3 linked regions of the Sus scrofa genome follow. The protein of the gene in region 1 purifies or fractionates together with the protein of each later gene. This does not show direct contact. Links are inferred from orthologs where the notes say so. Each region holds a gene or a part of one and is shown on either strand. Other genes may lie near its edges. The genes, in order: LGALS3, SLC12A7 and SLC12A6.

The links.
Region 2: the proteins of LGALS3 (region 1) and SLC12A7 purify together in Homo sapiens (affinity purification with mass spectrometry; 3 studies listed by BioGRID and IntAct, counting the BioPlex papers as one, with this or other methods). This does not show direct contact. The link is inferred for Sus scrofa from reciprocal best matches to the Homo sapiens genes LGALS3 and SLC12A7.
Region 3: the proteins of LGALS3 (region 1) and SLC12A6 purify together in Homo sapiens (affinity purification with mass spectrometry; 3 studies listed by BioGRID and IntAct, counting the BioPlex papers as one, with this or other methods). This does not show direct contact. The link is inferred for Sus scrofa from reciprocal best matches to the Homo sapiens genes LGALS3 and SLC12A6.

What each region holds. Positions count from the first base shown.
Region 1 is NC_010443.5:184,483,096-184,490,421, forward strand, and holds the start of LGALS3 (galectin-3), read left to right. Parts: upstream 1-3,031; 5' UTR 3,032-3,036; coding exon 3,037-3,054; intron 3,055-4,601; coding exon 4,602-4,955; intron 4,956-6,938; coding exon 6,939-7,027; intron 7,028-7,326. UniProt on the Homo sapiens protein: Galactose-specific lectin which binds IgE. May mediate with the alpha-3, beta-1 integrin the stimulation by CSPG4 of endothelial cells migration.
Region 2 is NC_010458.4:79,382,994-79,389,731, forward strand, and holds part of SLC12A7 (solute carrier family 12 member 7), read left to right. Parts: coding exon 1-41; intron 42-266; coding exon 267-365; intron 366-690; coding exon 691-810; intron 811-1,562; coding exon 1,563-1,667; intron 1,668-2,076; coding exon 2,077-2,245; intron 2,246-5,844; coding exon 5,845-6,040; intron 6,041-6,426; coding exon 6,427-6,596; intron 6,597-6,673; coding exon 6,674-6,738. UniProt on the Homo sapiens protein: Mediates electroneutral potassium-chloride cotransport when activated by cell swelling. May mediate K(+) uptake into Deiters' cells in the cochlea and contribute to K(+) recycling in the inner ear.
Region 3 is NC_010449.5:80,236,420-80,243,157, forward strand, and holds part of SLC12A6 (solute carrier family 12 member 6), read left to right. Parts: intron 1-1,148; coding exon 1,149-1,243; intron 1,244-2,722; coding exon 2,723-2,854; intron 2,855-4,205; coding exon 4,206-4,352; intron 4,353-5,737; coding exon 5,738-5,792; intron 5,793-6,261; coding exon 6,262-6,392; intron 6,393-6,738.

The sequences.
Region 1 (7,326 bases):
AGAGATATTTGGCAATGTCTTAAAACATTCTGGATGGGAGTTCCTGTCATGGCTCAGCAATAATAAACCTGACTAGTATCCATGAGGACTTGGGTTTGATCCCTGGGTCTGATCAGTGGGTTTGATCAGTGGATTAAGGATCCCACTTATTGCCATGAGCTGTGGTGTAGGCCAGCAGCTGTAGCTCCAATTCGACCCCTAGCCTGGAAACTTCCATATGCCGCAGGTGCGGCCCTAAAAAGACAAAAAAGATTCTGTATTATCACAACTGGAGTCAGTGCTCCTGGCATCATGTATGTTGAAGCCAAGGATGCTGCCAAACATACGACAATGCAGGGGACAGCCTCTCACTACAAAGTATCACATGTGAAATGTCAGTGGCACTGAGTTTGAGAATAAGCCTGTACACAATGGGGATATTTTAAAGAAGTGAAAACATAAAGTTATTGCTGAGTCTTTGGTGTGTTGCTCAGGAGTGGAAAAAGAATGTGTAATCAAAGGAATTAAGCTTTCTGCCCACTGTAAAGTTCAAGATCGTTTTTTATTGGCATCCAAAATGAGAAGCTTGATTTTCTTGACTTAAGAAATGTCTTTTCTGGAGTTTTCGTTGTGGCTCAGCAGTAATAAACCCGACTAGTATCCATGAGGATGTGGGTTCAATTCCTGTCCTTGCTCAGAGGGTCAGGGATCCAGCATTGCCTTGATCTGTGGTGTAGGTCGAAGATGTGACTTGGATCCCACGTTGCTGTGGTGTAGGCCAACTGCTATGGCTCCGATTTTACCACTAGCCTGGGAACTTCTATATGCTGTGGGTGCGGCTCTTAAAAGACTAATAATAATAATAATAATAAGTAGAAAATAATCTATTAAAAATGTCTTTTCCTTTTCTGTAACAACTCAAATTCCTCCTATAGTAGCAGCACAATTTTGTAAGCAGTGGCAGCCTTTTGGAGAAGGAAACACAGAACACCCAACTTCTGCTTTAAAAAAATCAAATACTGTATACTAAATACCGTGATTGTAAGCCCTGGAAGAGTATTACTATGACTTCCCAAATTGCCAGAAATTTCCACATTGGAAGCTGGGCACGGTGATGACCTGAGTGTTTCTAAATATGTTCGAGAATGCCCAGATTAAAAAGGAGATGTGCATAAAGAAAAAAGGGGTGGGGTAATATCTAACTCTTATAAAGAACAGCAGAGTAGAATAAAATACCTGGTGTTTAAATGAAGCACACATGAAGTTCTAGGAGCTCTGCTTGCTTGTTTTTTTAACCAAGAAATGTAGTATTTTACATTTTTAGAACTGTTAGTTTTGCTGAGGGAGGAACACGCAAGGCCTAGTTGATAAAGCAAGAGAGGTTTATTAAGGCATCAGAGGGGCACAGACTGAGCTCAAAATGGTGCCAGCCCTGACTGTATTGAGGTTCTAGGCTTATAAAGGATCTGTGGCTGGAGTTCACGGCAGGAACCTGTGGCAGGAACAATGAAGAAGAAGGAGGGGAAGGTCAAGGGAGGGGTAGGGGTTGAGTTCCATGACAGAGGGCAGTTAATCCTTACAGGTGGTTAATCTATGCGGGCAGTTGTTTTCTGCCATTGTTTCTTGCTGCCCAACTTGGGCATCCACATTCTGGGAGTGGTGTCCATGGCAGATCTCCAAGGTGAACAGCCATATTTGGGGGGTGGGAGGGGTTTGTTTCTGTCCTCTTGGGAGCCGATCAAGGAACCTAAGAACCCATCAAGTAGCCACCATTTATTGGTTCGTTTCTTCAAATAACAGAACTATGGCAAGTAAGCCACTTAAGGAAAAAGATTCTGATAGTTTTAAGATCCGGGTAATTTTGGCCATACCCAGCTGATCTTGAGTCAAGACAACTCATTCAGGCCTGAGGAGTCCAAAGCTGCCCTTCTGCCCTCATCACTAGAACACCAGCAGTGAGAGCAGGTGTAAAACATCCTGTTTGGTTGGGGACTTGGCACCTTGGCATGAGGGTGGGGACAGTGGACAGGATCAGCGCTGCTACCCTTTGGGGCAACGTTGGGCAAGGCTGACCCTCTTTTGTAACATCCTACCCAAAATGGTTTCCTCTGCATCGTCTGACCTTTTTTTTTTTTTAATTTCATTCATTTTACTGTGAGAGATTTCATTTGAAATAACAACTATTTTTTTAAAAAAGAAAAAAAGCAACTTGTGCCCATCTTTCCTCTTTATTGCTCCACATAACAGTCTCACCTTTCCTTCAAGGCTTAGCTCAAACAACACTGTCCTTTCCCTGTTGGAAGTAATCTTTCCAGTTGTGACTTCCCATGGCATGTGGTCTGGCCCACAGGGTCAATCACTTTCACCTCGTCTGGCCTGTGAAGGGACCATACATGTTGACTGCCTCCATCTTCAAACCCAGTTAGGAGCCCACAAGAGACATAAATGTATGCAAATGAAGGACTAAACCAACAGCAGCAACTACGTCTTGTGGGGGGAAAGTGGGGAATATAGGAATCAACCAACTGCTTTCCTCCTAAATCCCAGGGGAGGGCACGGGAACCCTGGCTTTTGTTCACCAGGGGAGTGGGCGGTGGGTGATATTAATGCACTGAACACTTTTTAGGAGGTGGTGGAAAGAGAGCACAGGAAGGAAGGTGAAGGGGGACCAAAGACAACCAGGACAAACACGTATTACCTAGGAAACTGTTTACTTTCACTCCTTCCCTCCCACCGGCAGCAGAGCATGGCTGTTACTCCCGTGATTCAGGCCACAGGCTCTTGTGATTAGAGTTTAGTTCTGAGTTAAATAGGGTGTGGCAATCCAGGCAGAGCACGACCCCGCCCCACGATGAAATGAGACATTTTTGTGGCTCCCCACTACTGACTTAGGTGTATTTGGGGACTAGACTGGCTTGTGTTAGAATCCCTGTAGATGGACTAGTCCTGCTTAGTGAGCTGTTTGTGACGTTATTCAGGCAGAAACCAAAAATCTTTCAGGATCAAATGATAACCTGTGGCTCTTTTTTTTTTTTTTTTCCTTCTCCTTTTAGGAGAATGGCAGACGGTTTTTCGGTAAGTGTCTTATGTCTGTTTTCCTACCTTCATGTGTAGACATTCATGCAGGTTGAGGGTTTTGTTTTGTTTGTTTTTCTTTTTCTTTTTAGTCACCAGAGTTTCCATCTAACTCTCCCACCACTCGTTAGCTGGAGTTGTGTTTTTCCAGCAACAAATTCAGGAAGAAAGCCAGGCAGAGAGGCCTGGGCCTCACTAACAGTAACCCCTTTACTGAACTGCCTAGGACAGAAGCGGGTGGATTCTGCTGGCAGGAGCTAAGAAATCCACTGAGCAATGGGCTGTCTCAGCATCCTGATTTTTTTCTTTAATACTGTGGTGCCCTCTACCCCTCCTCCCTTCCCAAATGCTGAACTAAGAAGCAGTCAAAATAAATTCCCATTAGTATTCCCAAATTAACAGAATGACTCACCCCACCTACAGCCATGAGTCTATTTTCCTAAATCCAGTTTACGTTTCCTCATCAAGCCCTCTGATTTTCTCTCCCCTTCCCCCAGGCCCCTGGGCTCCCTTTACAGCCTCGGCTTGTTGTTCTAATACCAGGTCTGGGCTTGGATTCCTAATGCATCAAAGGTTCAGACTGTCAGAGTTCCTAGGTGGCACAGTGGGTTAAGGATCTGGCATTGTCACTGCTGTGGTGTGGTTTCAATCCTTGGTCCGGGAACTCCTGCATGCCATGGGCATGGCCAAAAAAGAAAACAAAAAAACCCCAGAACACAAAAGATCAGACAATCCTAATGGATGATACTCAATCAACACAGCAATCTTTACTGAGTATCACGTAAATACCACATTACTCTGCTAAATACCATAGGAGACAGGAAGGGAGAAGGCAGTGTCTCTTCCTGGAGAGAAAGGACACCAACGAACACTGGCCCAGCACCTTGCAGTCTATACGGAGTCCTCCCAGATGCTGCCTCACTTGTTCATCCCAGTAATTTCGTGAAAGAGATCATTACTCCCATTTTACAAACAAAGACACTTAAGTTCTATCCAGGTAACATGATGTCTCCAAGCCTTCGGAGGTCTTGATGGATGGCACTGGATTTCAAACCAAATCTTATGACTCTATTTCCCAGGCCCCTCCCTGTGCACAAGGCAGCTTCTCCAGTTCTATCCTGGATGCCACTCATTAGCTGGAGTCGTGCAGCAGACACCCAGCAATGGGAAGGTCAAGGCAACCAGGGCCAGCTGGGTGGAGCTCTTGCAGCCCAAGAGCATCCTGATTTTGTGATTATTTTCCTCATGTCAGTGAGAACATATGTGCTTTTACATAGAGGATGGCTAGCTCCCAACTTCAGCAACTTAGGAAAAGGCAACCCTAATGATCTGAGATGATGGGAGGCAAGAATAAAGTGATAAAGCAGGTATAATCCCAAAGTCTAATTTTAGTCTTAGGAACTCAGTGAATAGGTGGGGAAATTTTATTCATAGGAAGTTCATAGCTTCACCCTATCCTTCTAATTCTTAGATTACATATTCCTATTTACCTGAAAATTCTGTTTTTGTGTTTTTCATCCTGTAATGGTTTATGTCTTTCTTTCCAGCTTAACGATGCTTTATCCGGGTCTGGAAAACCAAACCCTCAAGGATGGCCTGGTGCATGGGGAAACCAGCCTGCTGGGCCAGGAGGCTATCCAGGGGCTTCCTATCCTGGCACCTACCCTGGGCAGGGGCCTCCTGGTGCCTACCCTGGACAGGCACCTCCTGGCGCCTACCCTGGACAGGCACCTCCAGGGGCCTACCCTGGCCCAACAGCACCTGGTTATCCTGGCCCAGCCGCACCAGGAGCCTACCCTGGGCAACCAGGTGGGCCTGGCGCCTACCCGCCTCCTGCACAGCCAAGTGCTCCTGGAGCCTACCCTGCCACTGGCCCCTATGGTGCCCCTTCTGGACCACTGGTAAGAGGAATTGGTCATTTCACACACCTGGATATAGTGATAGGGACATAGCTAATGAAGAATGTAGCAATTGTCTGAGGTGGTGGTGCCATCACTTTGCAGTGCTCCCTGGGCCCTGACCTGCAAAGGGCTTCAGGGAGACTTGAAGCTTTCATCTCACTGCCTAGAACCGCTGTGCAACCACCAGCCACAGTGTATGTTGGTCCAGTAGAAAAGACTGTTGTTCCTGTTGAGTTTAAGCATGTGGACTGTTAGTACAAAGAGGAGCTAATGTATCTTTTGAAGGCATCTGTAAAGCAGCTTTAATATAAATCAAGTTAAGGTCATAGAAATGGGGGAGGTGTGGGTTGTTACTATTGTTAATAAACACTGGGTACGTAACGTGCCAGCTGTGTACCTCTTCATGGATGATCTCATTCAATCCCATAAGCTCCCCATAAAATACTATTGTTAAAACCACTTTACAAAATGAAGAAATGGTACAATAAAGAGTTAAACCACATTTCCATGGCCTTAGAGGGACCCTTTGAAGGACCCATGGTAATCTCATTTTTAAAAACCTTCTAAAGAGAATTTTGTGATCTAAGGGTTGAATTTTCATTTTATAGTAAAACCCATTTTAATAAATCAATTGTAAGCATAAAAATATAACTCTGTGGGATCCCAGACACATCTCAGACACAGATCCTTCCCTTCTAGATAGTCTAGTTGGGAGAAAATGTACTAATATGAGGAAATAGTTCAATAGTAGAGTGGGATCAGCCCCTTTCAGGATGTGATCCCACTATGATGGCACAGGAAGCATTTGATCTGCTTGTAGGTCAGCTTAGAGGAGAGAAGAGAGAGCGCTGGGGGCATGGGAGACTTTGAGCAGAGCTTGGACCAAAGACATGTAGTCAGCTGAGGCAAGGGGACAAGGGAGGCTGTGGAAAGGAAGAGGTGGATGGGGAGAGATTGCAGAGAAAAAAACCCCAGGATCTAGTGGTTAAGTCTTAGGAAGAGGTGGATGGGGAGAGATTGCAGCAGAAGAACCCCGGGATCTCATGGTTAAGTTTTAGGAGTCAGAGACAACTCTGGCTTTTTAAGGTTGGGCAAGGAGAGCACCAGCCAAAGGTCAGCCCAAACCAGGAACTCGGGAAGGGGACCAGATTGGGGAGGAGCAGGGGAGAAAATTCCAGTTCATACTGGTTGGATTTGCAGCACCAGTAGCAAAGCCAGACAAGGAGGAAGCACAGGTCTTGTACAGATCACGTCTAGAGAGAAAAGAGAGTTGGATGACGGTTGCTTGGGGGGAAGTAATTATTAAGGAAAAAGAGAAGAGGCCAAAGGCAGAGCATTGGGAATACTTACAGCACCTTGAACATAGATGGTCAATAGATATTTGCAGAATGAACTGGAGCATGTGTTAACTGGGAAGTGACCATTCCACAAATGTTGAGTACCTGCCACATTCAAAGCATTCCACTGGGCCTGTGTGAGTGGACCATAGGAGACCTCAGAAGCCCAGAAGATGCCACAGTGTCTGCCTTCAGGAGGCAGAATAACCACAGTGAATCATGTTGGATGAAAAGGATCTTAAGAGTGGCACAAAAATGTTGATTGCAAGGCCTAACTTAAGCCTTCTCATAAAGTAAGCTAATGCATGAGTTTTATATTGTAATGGCCCTCATCATGAGAGATCCAGTGCTCCCAAAGGGGACATGGTCTGCCTTTGGTAGCAATTAATGGATGACCTTATTCTCAATTATTAGTTGTAGTTGTGTAGGGAATCTTCTCTTCAGGCCCTGGGCAAGCTGGCCTAAGAGTCTGAAAAGACGGCTTTCAGCAGGGTTATATGTTATTCACACATATTAATAGTGGTTAAACTTTAGCAACATCTTTTTCTTTCTTTCCTCAAGAAAATATGACTCCTTTATGTGTGTGTGTGTGTGTGTGTGTGTGTGTATACATATATATATATATACCTATATGTTTTATTTGCAGAATGTGCCATATGACCTGCCTTTGCCTGGAGGAGTCATGCCTCGCATGCTGATAACAATTCTGGGCACAGTAAAGCCCAATGCAAACAGGTAAAGAGCAAAACTAGCAAGTCTAACACATTTGTTGATTACTTTGGGAATAAAGGGTGATCTGTTTTGAATTTTAATAGAATTTTTAAAATTACACATTTAGAATCTTGGCTATACCACAGTTTGGAATTTTCCCATAAATCAATACACGTTCCCACCAAGAAGACAAAGTTTTCCTCACTAAATCTTGTTTTTCTCCCAGAAACAGACTTTAAAAAAAGTTTCCCTTGTGAGGACAAAGAGGAAGAGCAGAAAAACCCATTCTATTGGTTCTTCCTAGCAATGAAAGCTTTAGAATT
Region 2 (6,738 bases), on another chromosome or scaffold:
CTCATCGCCTCCCTGGACAGCGTGGCCCCCATCCTCTCCATGTGAGGGTCCTGCCCGCTTGTCGGCCGCCGGAGGCCTCTGCTCCTGGGCTCGCCTCCTGCTCAGGGGACAGCAGAGCGCCAGGCGCTCGTGCCTGCGCGTGCGGAGCGGGGCGGGGTGGTGGGACGGCTGCGTAGGGAAGAGGGATGGGGCTCCCGGGCGTGGGGGCAGCGTGGGCGCCCCCTTGGGACCGGGCTCAGCCCCTCATGCTGAGCTGGCGTCCCCAGGTTTTTCCTCATGTGCTACATGTTCGTGAACCTGGCCTGTGCTCTGCAGACCCTGCTGCGCACGCCCAACTGGCGCCCTCGCTTCAAGTATTACCACTGGTGAGCCCGGTCCCCGCCAGGCCAGCTGCCGCCTGGGTCCCCGGTCGTCCCCTGTGGAAGGAGCCCAGTGGGTTGGTGAGGGCGCCGGGTCTCCGTGTGCCCAGTGTGCCTGGCGCCCTGGCGGATGCGTGAAGCCCGTTGTTGGTGCCCAGCGGGGTGGCGTCCGCCTTTGGGGTGGTGCCAGGGGAGGAGCGGAGGAGCACCTGGCTGTGTTCCTGTACGAACAGAGGGTTCCTGCGGAGGGACGGGACGTTTCAGGGCCCCTGCTCGGACGCCAGCTTGGGGCTGGCGGGGAGGCATGGCCCCACGAGCTCTGTGTCCCCAGGACCCTCTCCTTCTTGGGCATGAGCCTGTGCTTCGCCCTGATGTTCGTGTGCTCCTGGTACTACGCCCTCTTCGCCATGCTCGTGGCCGGCTGCATCTACAAGTACATCGAGTACCGCGGGTGAGCCGCGACGCCGGGGTCCCCACAGCCCGGCGCTGGGGGCCTCCCCGGGGCAGGTGCACGGGGCCCTCTGGTGACCGAGCCGGCGAAGCCCGCCTCCCCTGCCGGCCGTTCAGGGTTCCTGCCTGTGAGTCTAGTGCAAGGAGAGCGCGTTTGCTGCGGTTAAGGGGCCGCACGACTGTCCCGCGTTCGTCTCGACGTACCCGCAGGTTTAGCCGTGTCAAAGTGTGAAGGACTGTGCTTTGGGGCTTTGAAATCCAGCTGGTGACGCACTGCTGCGTGGTGGGTTTCAAAATTCCCAGGAAGTACACCGCACCAAACCGCAGTTGTGGGCAGGTTGGCTGCAGCCCAGAGCCCCTGGTCCACCACGAGGGGCGTGTCCCCCGAGGCCCTGGCCCCTCGGGGCGGCGGGGGCCCTGGGGGCACTGCCTCAGGTCCCCTCCCAGCTCTTCCAGGTGGCCATCCAGGGTCTGGGGACTGTGCTGCTCCTGCTGGTGCCCAGCCACCGCCTGCCACCGGAGTCCCCTCCCTTTGTCTGTCCATGGCCTTGGCTCTGAGGCCCCTCACGGTGCCCGCGCCACCCCCACCCAGTGCCCCTCCCCACGTCCTGCTCCTTCCTGTCCCTGGTCGGCCTCGGAAGCCCCCTGCGCTGCCCCAGAAGTGCTGAGAGACCCCAAGGGCCTCCCCGGGGCTGCCCGGGTACCAGCTGGATGTGCTGCGGGGAGGGCTCACGGCTGCCCCTACCCACCCAGGGCCGAGAAGGAGTGGGGCGACGGCATCCGGGGGCTGTCGCTGAACGCCGCCCACTACGCCCTGCTGCGCGTGGAGCATGGCACCCCCCACACCAAGAACTGGAGGTGAGTGCCCACCCTCACGCCCTTTGAGCCCACGGGCGTGTCCGTCCCCAGGCTTGGTGGCAAGAAGCTCACCCCCAGTTAGGTTGTCAAGGAAGCTGCCATGGCCTTGTTCATGGTGCTTCCCCCCCCATCACCGCCCTCCCCGCGCGTGATCAGCTCGATCTGATCGTTGGTTGAGGAGACATTGCGAGGGTGGAGGTGGGGGATTGGGGTGAGGTCATCTTTGGGGACCTGCTGTGGACAGAGGACACCTGCCAGGCTTCTCGGGTCTGGGAGGGGGTGGGGAGCTGCCCCTCTGAGCTGCCCCGTGCTGGAGGCCCCTTGCCCTCCATCCCCCGGGCAGAGGTGGGGGGGCGCGCCTGCCGAGTGCAGTGTCCCGTCGTCATGGTAACCGCTGCTCCCCACCCAGGCCGCAGGTGCTGGTGTTGCTGAACCTGGACGCCGAGTGGCGCGCGAAGCACCCCCGCCTGCTGTCGCTCACCTCGCAGCTCAAGGCCGGCAAGGGCCTGACCATCGTGGGCTCCGTGCTGGAGGGGACCTTCCTGGACCAACACGCAGAGGCCCAGCAGGCCGAGGAGGTGGGGCTGGGCGCCAGCGTGTGGGGGTTCGAACGAGCAGGATGGAAACCTGCTGGGAACGTCTGCCGTGCGAGGCCCGGGCGCCCGTGACCCTCGGGGACGCCGTCGGGCATCGAGAGTGGCCGCGGGGGGCCAGTCCCTGCTCGTTTGCTTCGGCAGCGGAGGACAGAGGGTGAGCGGGGCGCATGTGCCGGCGCCTCCCGCCCTGGGTCCTGGCACAGACCCGCCGCACAACATCTTTTCATCCCAAACGCCGAGTCTGTCTCTGCAACGGCATCCGAACGGCATCCCCACTGTCGCCCAGTCCCCAGGCCGCGTCCAGACCCCCGCTTGCCTCCAGCCCAGCTCCGTGTCAGCCGGGCCGCGTCTCTGGGTGTCGCTCTGGGTGGGCCCCTCGCCTGCATCCTGCATCCAGGCGTCCGGGGCACCCCTGCTGTCTGTGGGGCTGTGAGCCGGACTGCATCACAGCCAGGCCTTCCCGGGTGGGCACGGCTGCTCCAGGGGGTTGTGGCCGGCAAAACCCGGTGCATCAACACCCCCTCCGGTCAGCTGGCCCGCCGGCCCCGCGGGGCCTGGGTGGCTGGTTCAGGGCGCCCGTTGCATCCTTTCCTTGTCTCTCCAGAGGCGCTGGCCGTTCTCTGACCCGGGGGTTTAACGTGGCCACTGCTCGCCTGGGCCTGGGTGTGCACACTGGGGTTGTGGCTGTGAGCCTGGCTGTAGACGTGGCATGTTGCCCTCGCGATGTGCTGGCGGGCAGCCTCTTAGCTGGTGCCCTAGGCCTCTCGGTGGCTCCTTGCGTGCGTGGCGAAGCTCAGGCTCACCTTGTGCGTTTCCTGCTTTGACCCGTTTCCAAGGGCGGGAGGGGCCTGGTTCTCATGTCTGACTGTGGCCTCTGGCCCCCGGGGGCGACACACTTGTGGCTCCTTTTGTCCCCCAGCATTTCCAGGGAACCGGGAGGCAGAGCCGGCGGGGGGCAGACAGGCACCCGGCCACCAGCTCCGAGTGTGCATCGGGGGCTCCGAGCTTGTGCAAAAGGGCACTGACGTGGCTCAATTCACAGCCTTTTCCAGACGCGAGTGTTGTCATCTGATGTGTTCTTCTGGGTATTTTCCTGTTGCCGTTTTGCACAAACAATCCTGCAGAACACATTCGGCTCACACACTCACGTGCTTCCAAGCCGTGTCTTCCGGTTGGCTGGGTGCCTGATTCGTTTCCTACGGCTGTGTGGTGTTTGTTGCCGGGTGCTCTGAGGTTTGTTCCACGAAATTGTGGTTCCTGAAACGGCGGGGGTTCCATCACTGTCAGGTCAGGAGCGTGGTGGTGTAAGTGACTGCAGACCTGCCTTGTCCACGAGAGGCTGCTTTTAGGACAAGTTCTCAGGGCTGGAGCTCCCTTGGGGCCTGGCCTCCGAGGGTCTGGCCAAGGTCAGCTCTTGCCTGCCTGGCAGTGTATGTAAACTCAGGTCCGCGTGGCCCGTGGGCATGGGGGGCTCAGGCCCGCTGTGTGTCTCTAACGGGAGGGCCGGGTCCCGTGGCCGCCGCGGAAGAGGGGGAAGCCTCGTGGAGGGGGCACGGCCGGGCTCCACCCCAGGGGCTCAGCAGGGGTGAGGCTCGGGGCCGTGTGTGTCACCAAGGGCAAGGGCTGGGTGGAGGCACTCGCTGGGGTTTCCAAAGGGGAGGACCCCCGGGGTGTCACGGTCAGGTGCACGCACAGCATCTCACTTGCAGGAGGCACCCACCTGGCTCCCACCTGCTTCGACTTTGGTTAGTGACTGAGGCGGGGGCCTCCTGAGGGGAGGCCCTGCTGCTTCCCACCGGGATCGCGGCTCTCGATCTGGTGGAAGGAGGGCGGCCGAGAGGGTCAGCCAGGGTGCAGGCAGGGCCACGCGCCTGCTTCCTGGGGCGGGGCTGAGGCCCATCTGCTGGGGTCAGAGAAGCCCCTCACGCTGACCCCAGGTTCCGCAGGGCCTTGTCTTGGGGACCCAGGGCCGGGCATGGAGCAGGGGCTGCAGAGGTTGAGGCGGCCCCCGAAACCCCACAGGGCGGTGAGGTGGGTTTTCCATCAGCGTGACTGGAGGACCCCAAACCCATGGTGGCTCCTTGAAGCTGTTGCATCGGGTCAGCCTTTCCTAAGCCAGTGACCTGAGAGCTGTGGTCTCAAAGTGGGGACATGTGGCATTTAAAGCCCCCGGAGTGGCCACCTCCTGACCCGGCTGAGCCCCTGTGCTCTGGCCTCTGGGCAGCGTGGGCCCCGCGAGCCCTGAACTGCATTTCGACCGCACTGAGGCCACCCCGTGTCACGTCCGAGGATGGGTCTGGACTCTTCCTTCTCCAGCCGCCTCGCCCTTCGATGTGGTGGCAGCTCAGGCCGGGTGGTTGAGGGGACGTGGCTCCAGCCCTTGCCACGAGGTCCTGGGACGGCCGGAACAAATACCCATCCCTTTTGTCCCAGCTCTGGGGCCAGATCCAACATGGAGGGGCCCAGGGCCGCCCTGTCCCGAGCTCAGAGCAGGTTTCAACTGCCTTTTCCAGCTGCTGGGGCTCCAGGCGGCCCTGAGCTCATGGCCCCTCCCTCTCATCTCTGCCTCTGTCTTCTCGTGGCTTTTTCTCAGTGTCTGTGTCTCGTCTGTCCCTTTGAGGACACTGCCATGGGACCTGGGGCCGCCTGGGCAATCCAGGATGGTTTTGTGTCAAGACGCCTAACTCACTCAAGATCTCTCCTGGAGGCCATGCTCCCAGGTTCTGGATTAGGACGCGGGCATATCTTTCAGGGCCAAGGTCAGCCCACTGTGGTCTGTCCTCTGGGCCCCAAGCTGCCCCTGCGTCTTCCACGTAAAAGCATGTGTCTTGTCTCGGTGTCCCCCGGGTCCCAGCCCCTCACACTGTCCGCCAAGCCCCAGATCTCGTCTTCTGCCCACCTGGCTCAGGTGCTGGGACATCCCGAGGGGCATCCACCTCCCATGTGACGTGGAGGCAAAGGGCCCTGTGGGACCTGCGCCAGGCCGTCCCAGCCCGGGAGGCGCAGGCCGGAGGAGGCGGCCACGTGGGCTCCAGCAGGGCTGTTCCGCCTGTGTCAGCCCTTCCCTGTGGTTCACAGCTGCATCGGGGGGGCCCCGAGTCAGGCCCCAGGGGCCGGTCAGTGTGGCCGGGAGGGGACCAGCAGGCACAGGTCCTTAGCGAAAGGCCCGCTGTCGTCACTGTGTGCCCGGCCTCCCCGTGACGTCCAGCTGCCCTGGGTCGGATGCCTGGCGCGTGGCCGAGGGGCAGAGCTGCACACGCCCGGCCTGTCGCTCCTGAACCTCCAGGCCCCTCGGTCCTGGTCGGGAGCGCTGTTGGGTGGATGCGTGCTGGCCGGGGGTCCGCAGACCAGGAGTAATGGACCCGGGGTCCGCGTGGAAGGGTGGGGGGGTCCGTGACCTCGCAGGTCCGAGAGTGCCTGCCGCGTGACTGCCCCACCTTCCCGAGGGCAGGGAGCACACACACGTGTGCTCGCGTGCGCATGCGTGTACTCACGTGCACACGCAGGCGGCCCTAGTCTGGACCCCGGGACCGAGGGTTGGGGTTACCCTGACCCCTGATCCTGCGCCCCTGCGTCCGCAGAACATCCGGGCCCTGATGGCGGCCGAGAAGACCAAGGGCTTCTGCCAGCTGGTGGTGTCCCCCAGCCTGCGCGACGGCGTGTCCCACCTGATCCAGTCGGCCGGCCTGGGGGCCATGCGGCACAACACGGTGCTCATGGCCTGGCCCGCAGCCTGGAAGCAGGGGGACAACCCCTTCTCCTGGAAGAACTTTGTTGGTGAGTCTCAGGGCCCCGGGCTGGGAGTCCGGGCCTCGATTGGGGTGTCGGGGCCCTGGGCTGGGTGTTGGGGTCCCAGGCTGGGTCTCAGGGCCCCGGGCCAAGAGCTGATCCCTGGGGGCCGCTGGGGGCCCTGGCTGCGCTGCTTCTCGAAGAGCCAGCCGACGTTCAGGAGCCTTGAGACGGGGCCATTTCCCTTGGCCCTGCCCTTCTCTGGCGACTCCCAGGGGCGCCAGCCGGGCCGCGGAGCGATGGGGGCGGCTGCACCCCATGTGGGGCTCTGTGTGGACCCCAGGCCCGCCCACCCCAGTCCCTGGCGGGGGCCCTGAGTCCAGGTGCCCAGTCGTGCAGGGTCTGTGACCCCTGGCCCGCCTGCCCCTCTGCAGACACCGTGCGCGACACCACGGCGGCGCATCAGGCCCTGCTGGTGGCCAAGAACGTGGATCTGTTTCCGCAAAACCAGGAGCGCTTCAGCGACGGGCACATCGACGTGTGGTGGATCGTGCACGACGGGGGGCTGCTCATGCTGCTGCCCTTCCTGCTGCGGCAGCACAAGGTGGGGCCCGGGGGCAGGGGGCGCCCCCGGCGGGCCCCGGGGCAGGGGCCGCGGCGACCGTGCCATGCCTTCCGCAGGTGTGGAGGCGCTGCCGCATGCGCATCTTCACGGTGGCCCAGGTGGACGACAACAGCATCCAGAT
Region 3 (6,738 bases), on another chromosome or scaffold:
GCCACATCCAAACCTCATCTGTGACCCACACCACAGCTCATGGCAACACTGGATCCCCAACCCACTGAGCAAGGCCACGGATCGAACCTGTGTCCTCAAGAATACTAGTCAGATTTATTTCTGCTGAACCACGACAGAAACTCCTCATATTGTCCCATTTTTAGTCAACAGGAACCCCTTCAGATTGGCTCTTCTGTCCTTTGACATGACTCAGTTTCCTTGATAACTTCTTGCCTATTTTCCAAGTTCATCTTATATATTTAAGGTTATAGGACTTTAGATTTTTATATTGGTATCCATTTTCTCAGTATCTAAAATCTTAGTACTTAATGACATTTACACAATTTTTTTTCTCTCTCTCTCCTACCAGACTATGATAACTATGTAACTTTTATACAATAAAGAATGAAAGTTAAGTAAGCAGTCAACATAAACTACTAAGACCTAATCTTTTTTTCTTTTTCCTTATAGCTAGTTCACCAAATTCTTGCAGGGTTCCTCTTTTAGGATAAAAGAACACCCTGGTGGCTCATCAGGTTAAGGATCCAGTGTTGTCACTGCTGTGGGGCCTGTTCCATTCCTGGCCCAGGAACTTCCCAGTGTCTCAGGCACAGTCAAAAAAAAAAAAAAAAAAAAAAAAAAAAAAAAAAAAAACCGTAAACAGATAATGTGGCAACTGTTAGTACAAAAATAATACTAGGGTAAGTGACCTAATGTCATTTATAAAAGGACAGACAGCCGTGAAGGCAGAGGGCTTTTACTGCTGTTATCAACAGTAGCAGTGTGTAAAGTATCCTTGATACCCTGAGGAAGTACTCAATGATTGTTCTATTTTTTTTTTCCATCCTAGATTTGGGCTCTGTTAATAGTAGGGTCCCCATAGGCTAGACTCCTAAAAGAATAGTGTTTCCAGAGGTCTTCATGTTGTTAAGAAAAGGAATGAGCCATATTTACTTCTTAGAGATTTGCTTTTGCTCCTGTTCAAGAATCACATTCTCCAAACAGTGCTGGTTGAGTTCTCCCATTCTGAGATGAAAATTTGAATGTAAAAATGGGTTCTGTTTTTACAGAGCTGATATGGAATTATTTGGTGCTGATGCTTCTTCAATACTAGTGAGAAACTAACTTGGTTTACTTTTATTTTCCAGATGATGGGCATAAGAAAGCTCGAAATGCTTATCTTAACAATTCCAATTATGAAGAAGGAGATGAATATTTTGATAAAAATTTGGCACTCTTTGAGGTAATATTTGGGAGGAACAGGGCATAGATTTTAAGAACAGAGATTTCAAGATTGCTGTTTTCCCACCCCATTTAGTTTTAAAACATTGTAGGTTGGATTCCTTAATAACTAGCTGTTAAAGTATAGTGCTTATTATAGCTTGTCATTGTAGTTGATTTAATCTATATAATTATTGTTGATTAATAGATAATCATTTAATCAAATTTCCATGGAGTAAAGAGGAGAAATGTTGACATCACAGGCATATGGAGAACTTTGTTATCTAACTCAGCTAGGATTTAAATGTTTATATTGGAAAAATCTACTAAGTATAAAGCATTTTTCAACTCTGTGTTTGGGATGACTGTCATTTATCTTACTAACCCAAAGTCAGAGTAGGAAGCAGGCTGCTGGATTTTTTTTTTTTTTTCCTTGGTCTTTTTAGGGCCGAACCTGAGGCATATGGAGGTTCTCAGGCTAGGGGTCCAGTTGGAGCTGTGGCCACTGGCCTACATCATAGCCACAGCAATGCGGGATCCAAGCCACGTCTGCTGCAGCTCACAGCAACACCGGGTTCTTAATCCACTGAGCAAGGCCAGGGATCAGACCCACATTCTCATGGATAGTAGTCGGGTTCATTAAGTGCCAAGCCATGATGGGAACTCCAGGCTGCTGGATTCAGAGGACTTGCTAATGCCTTATCTGACTAAGACAGCATGAACTCTGATATTCTGTGGCCAGGTTGAAAGGAGCCTAGTTTAGTTCAGCACTGCCTTTGTCTTACTTTGGACAATGACTCAAGTGCCACTTTTCTCAGTGTACCTATTTTTTAAATGTTATTTTATCTGCCTTCAAGAAAAGGTCTGAGGTGAATATTTGATTCAATCACAAGTTTTCTTTTGATCTGTGCATGCTTGGTACCATGAATAATTGCTATAAATATTAGTAGACTGTTAGTATCACTGTGCTTAAAGATTATGTTATCGGTGTTCTTTATAAGGACTACAACTATCTGTAGGAGCCCATGTAGTTTTGCTTTTATGGTAAAGTTAAGCTATTAGGAATAATAAAGCTTTTCATTTGAGAATTTTATAAGGGAGTTCCTGCTGTGGTGCATTGGGTTAAGGATCTGACTGCAGCAGCTCAAGTCACCAAGGAGGCATGGGTCTGATACCTGGCCAGGGACAGTGGGTTAAAGGGGCCAGTGTTACCTGAGCTGCAGGGTAGGTGGCAGCTGTGGCTCGGCTTCAGTCCTTGGCCTGGGAACTTCCATATGCCATGGATGTAGTCCAAAAAAAAAAAAGTGTTTCATAAGTATTTGTGTAGCCCTGATTATGTATTATAATATGTGGGGCAAACAGTCTCATCAATAAATTTTCTTAAAATGTTTACCTATGAAATTTTTCTCATTTACTTTGTAACTTTCTGGTAGAGGGATCATTTTTATGCTTATGTACAGTGTCTTCATCATGTATTTCATTCGTATTTCTGGCTTTATAGGAAGAAATGGACACCAGGCCAAAAGTGTCTTCTCTCCTCAACCGGTTGGCCAATTATACTAACCTGACACAAGGAGCAAAAGAACATGAAGAGGCAGAGAACATCACTGAAGGGAAAAAGAAGGCCACCAAGGTGAGGCCTTAGAATAACAAAGATAAATAAAAGGAGCCCAATATTATAATAAAGGAGATATCCAGGCCATCACTCTATGTGCAAGAATGCTTGATATGTGCCAGGCCCGAGAGGTAGTGAGCCATGTAAAACAGTTGGGGGGCAGTGTTCCAGGGAGATGGAATATCACACCAGAAGAAAAGTATCTCACCCAGCATTGCCTCCTGGTGCAGTGGGTTAAGGATCCAGTGTTGTTACTGCTGTGGTACGGGTTTGGTCCCTGGCCCACGGACTTCCACATACTATGGGTACAGACAAAAAAATGAGAAAAGAAAATTGGCCATATCCATCCACTGACGCCATGTCTCTATGGTGAAGTTGTTGGGCTTTTTAAGACCAAATACCAGTTTCTCTCAACATGAAAATATGGGATAGTATTACAAGTTAGTTTTCTGGTTGTTCAGGAGTAAAGTGACACTCAGATCTTCATTTTTTATCAATTACATTTACCACCTGCTATGAAAGATTTATGCCAAATTCTAACAGAATTCCATCAAGTCATTATTCCATTTAAAAAAAAGAACAGAAAGAGCCATTGGCTTTGAAGAGAAAAAATTTTAAATTATTGAAGATGCACTTAAAAGTTTGTTTGTGGCACAGTTGGATCAGTGGCGTCTTGGGAGTCCCGGGACACAGGCTTGATCCCTGGACTGGCACAGTGGATCAAGGATCCAGCATTGCTGCAGCTGCAGTTTGGATCTGATCCCTGGCCTGGGAACTCCATATGCAGTGGGGCAGCCAAAAAAAAGAAAAAAAAAAAGTTTGTGATCAAATGTCTGTGTAAAAATATGTGGAGACTTATGTAAAATAAAAATGTGTGTCTGGAGTTCCCGTCGTGGCGCAGGGGTTAATGAATCTGACTAGGAACCATGAGGTTGCTGGTTCGGTCCCTGCCCATGCTCAGTGGGTTAACGATCTGGCGTTGCCGTGAGCTGTGGTGTAGGTTGCAGACACGGCTCGGATCCCACATTGCTGTGGCTCTGGCGTAGGCCAGTGGCTACAGCTTTGATTCGACCCCTAGCCTTGGAACCTCCATATGCCTCGGGAGCGGCCCAAGAAATAGCAAAAAGACAAAAAAAAAAAAAAAATGTGTGTCTCTAGGAATAATAAAGGGTATAGTGATAGAAATTTGTTAAGATGGAGATTTTATATGTGCCTGTTTAAAGATAGTGCTTAAATTTATCTCTACTTTGCAATTCATATGCAGTTCATAGTTAGGGTGCAAGTTTTTATATAAAAATAAAGGGATAAAAGCATCACTTCTAGATGATGACTATATGATTTTTTCTTTCATCAACATCTTTCTTTCTAGACCCCCCAAATGGGTACCTTCATGGGTGTCTACCTCCCATGTCTACAGAATATTTTTGGAGTGATCCTGTTTCTACGCCTTACATGGGTGGTGGGCACAGCTGGAGTTCTGCAGGCCTTTGCAATTGTCCTTATCTGCTGCTGCTGTGTAAGTCCCAAGTTGGCTCCTGGAGATCACCTGGAACACTGCTCAAGCTCGAGTATCATGCTTGGCCTCTTTGAGAATAAAACAAAGAATACATACTGGGGAAGGACTTGCCATCTCAACAGGAGAGATTATTTTGATATTAAAATCTAAAGGATCTTCAATTACTTAGTGTCAGTTATTTACTGTTTATAATATGATATACTTGAAATTACAAAGAAGGACTTCTATAAGAAGGAGAAGATACAGGTTCTGACTTCCAAAAATTCAGATACAAACTATTTGAGCTTGATAATACCAATGTTGTGACAGAAAATGTGTTAGAAAACATGATATGCTTACTCCAGTATAGTGAAGATTAACAAAACTGATTGTTGTTTGGAAATGAGAGGTATTTGTTTTGTTTTGAAGTCTCATCCATTGTCCTTTCCCCAGAAATTTGGGTATTGTTTCCAGATCTTCTCTTCACTACACTGAGAACATTCTGAACTTCCTTTAATTTAAACTTCTCTTATCTGTGTATCCCAGCCACATCTCTCAATTTTATTGTAAGTTGATTATTATAAATTTTTTAATTTCATTATTCAGCTGTCTACTGACCTTTTATTACTATCACCATCATACACTCCCTGTGCATTGTGCTCAGCTGAGTATTGTGCAAAGCAGGGTAAGGAGACATAGTCCATGTTGTTAGTAACTTAATGATACCACCATTTTTTTTTCAGTTTCTTAGTCTTGAAACTTCAGGGCCCTATTTGGTTCCTTGATTGCCTCTCACATCTCATGAGCTATCAAGACCAATCAAATCAAATCTCCCTCTGAAATCTCTTTCGTTCAACCCTTTCTTTATACTCCTACTTCTGCCACTGCAGTCCTTCCCTCTCTCTGAACTACAACAATAGCCTACTAACAAGTCACTCTGCCTCCATCTACTCCCTATCTGCAGTCCATTCTGTACTCTGCTACTACCAGGTAATGTTTTAAAATACAGTTCTTATGAGCTGGGCAGTCTTTAGTGGTTTCCCTTCTTACTGAATGTTGTTCTTGTTATTGTAGCCAGTCTTTAGTCAGTTTCTAATCTGTTTTCTGAGTTTTCAATTTAGGAGACCGGGACTAGATGAGTGGTTCTTAATAGCACCTAACCTACTGATTACAATATAGGAGTATTTTAGCAGAATTCTCCCGATACTAGTAGTATGATTGAAGCACATCAGTGCGTCAAAGCACATCATCTCATTTCCATGAAATTCGGTATGACAGGCAACCGCTTCCGTAAAAGTAGATAGAATTAGATGTTCGATCAGTGCTCTGAGGTCTGCAAATGGGAAAGTAGTATAGAAATACCATCTTTATACAGTAACGGTCTTCTCCTTTCCCTTTCTTTACAGACAATGTTGACTGCTATCTCCATGAGTGCCATTGCCACTAATGGAGTGGTGCCAGGTCAGTAGCTAAGACTGGATTTCAGAGATTGTATATTTATGCTGTAATGAGGCGTAAACTTCCAAGGAACAGAATACTAATTAGTATGTTGGCCATAGGCACTAACACTACTTGACTTTAGAATACCTTCTTTAAAGAAATCTCTTTATGTTTTAAGATTAAAAATCCCTTATTTCTGTTGCATTCTTAGCTTCTTTTCATTAGAATATATGTTTTATTCTGCTGTCTCATGCGTGTAATAATCCTCTGCTATTTTTTAAGTAATACTGACAAATTGTGCTGCTTTATATGGAGCATATTAGATGTGTCGTTTAAAGGTTTCATCTTTTACTTCCTACTAGGAAATCTGCTTTTTATCACATTTAGGGTTTTCAAAAGTCTGAATCAGTTATCTTCCTTCTTTATGACTTGCTGACTTTCCTAATACTAACATACTTTTTTTATCCTGTTCTTCTGTTGTGTCTTTTAGCTGGGGGCTCATACTTTATGATATCCCGAGCACTGGGCCCAGAGTTTGGTGGGGCTGTTGGCCTCTGCTTTTATCTTGGTACCACGTTTGCAGCAGCCATGTACATCCTTGGTGCCATTGAAATTTTTCTGGTGAGTAATGATTTAATTGTGGTTTACAGTGTAGAAAATATATAGATTTGAATGTATTTTTTTCTTTGGTATCAAAACTTCTGGAGTTCCTATGGTGACTCAGCAATAACGGACTTGACTAGTATCCATGAAAATATGAGTTTGTTCCCTGGCCTCACTCAGTGGATTAAAGATCTGGCATTACCATGAGCTGTAGTGTAGGTCGTAGATGTGGCTCGGATCCCATGTTGCCATGGCTGTGTGGTAGGCCGACAGCTGCAGCTCTGATTCAACCCCTAGCCAGAGAACTTCCTTATGCCGTTAGTGCAGCCCTAAAAAGACCAAAAAGAAAAAAGAGATGGAATTA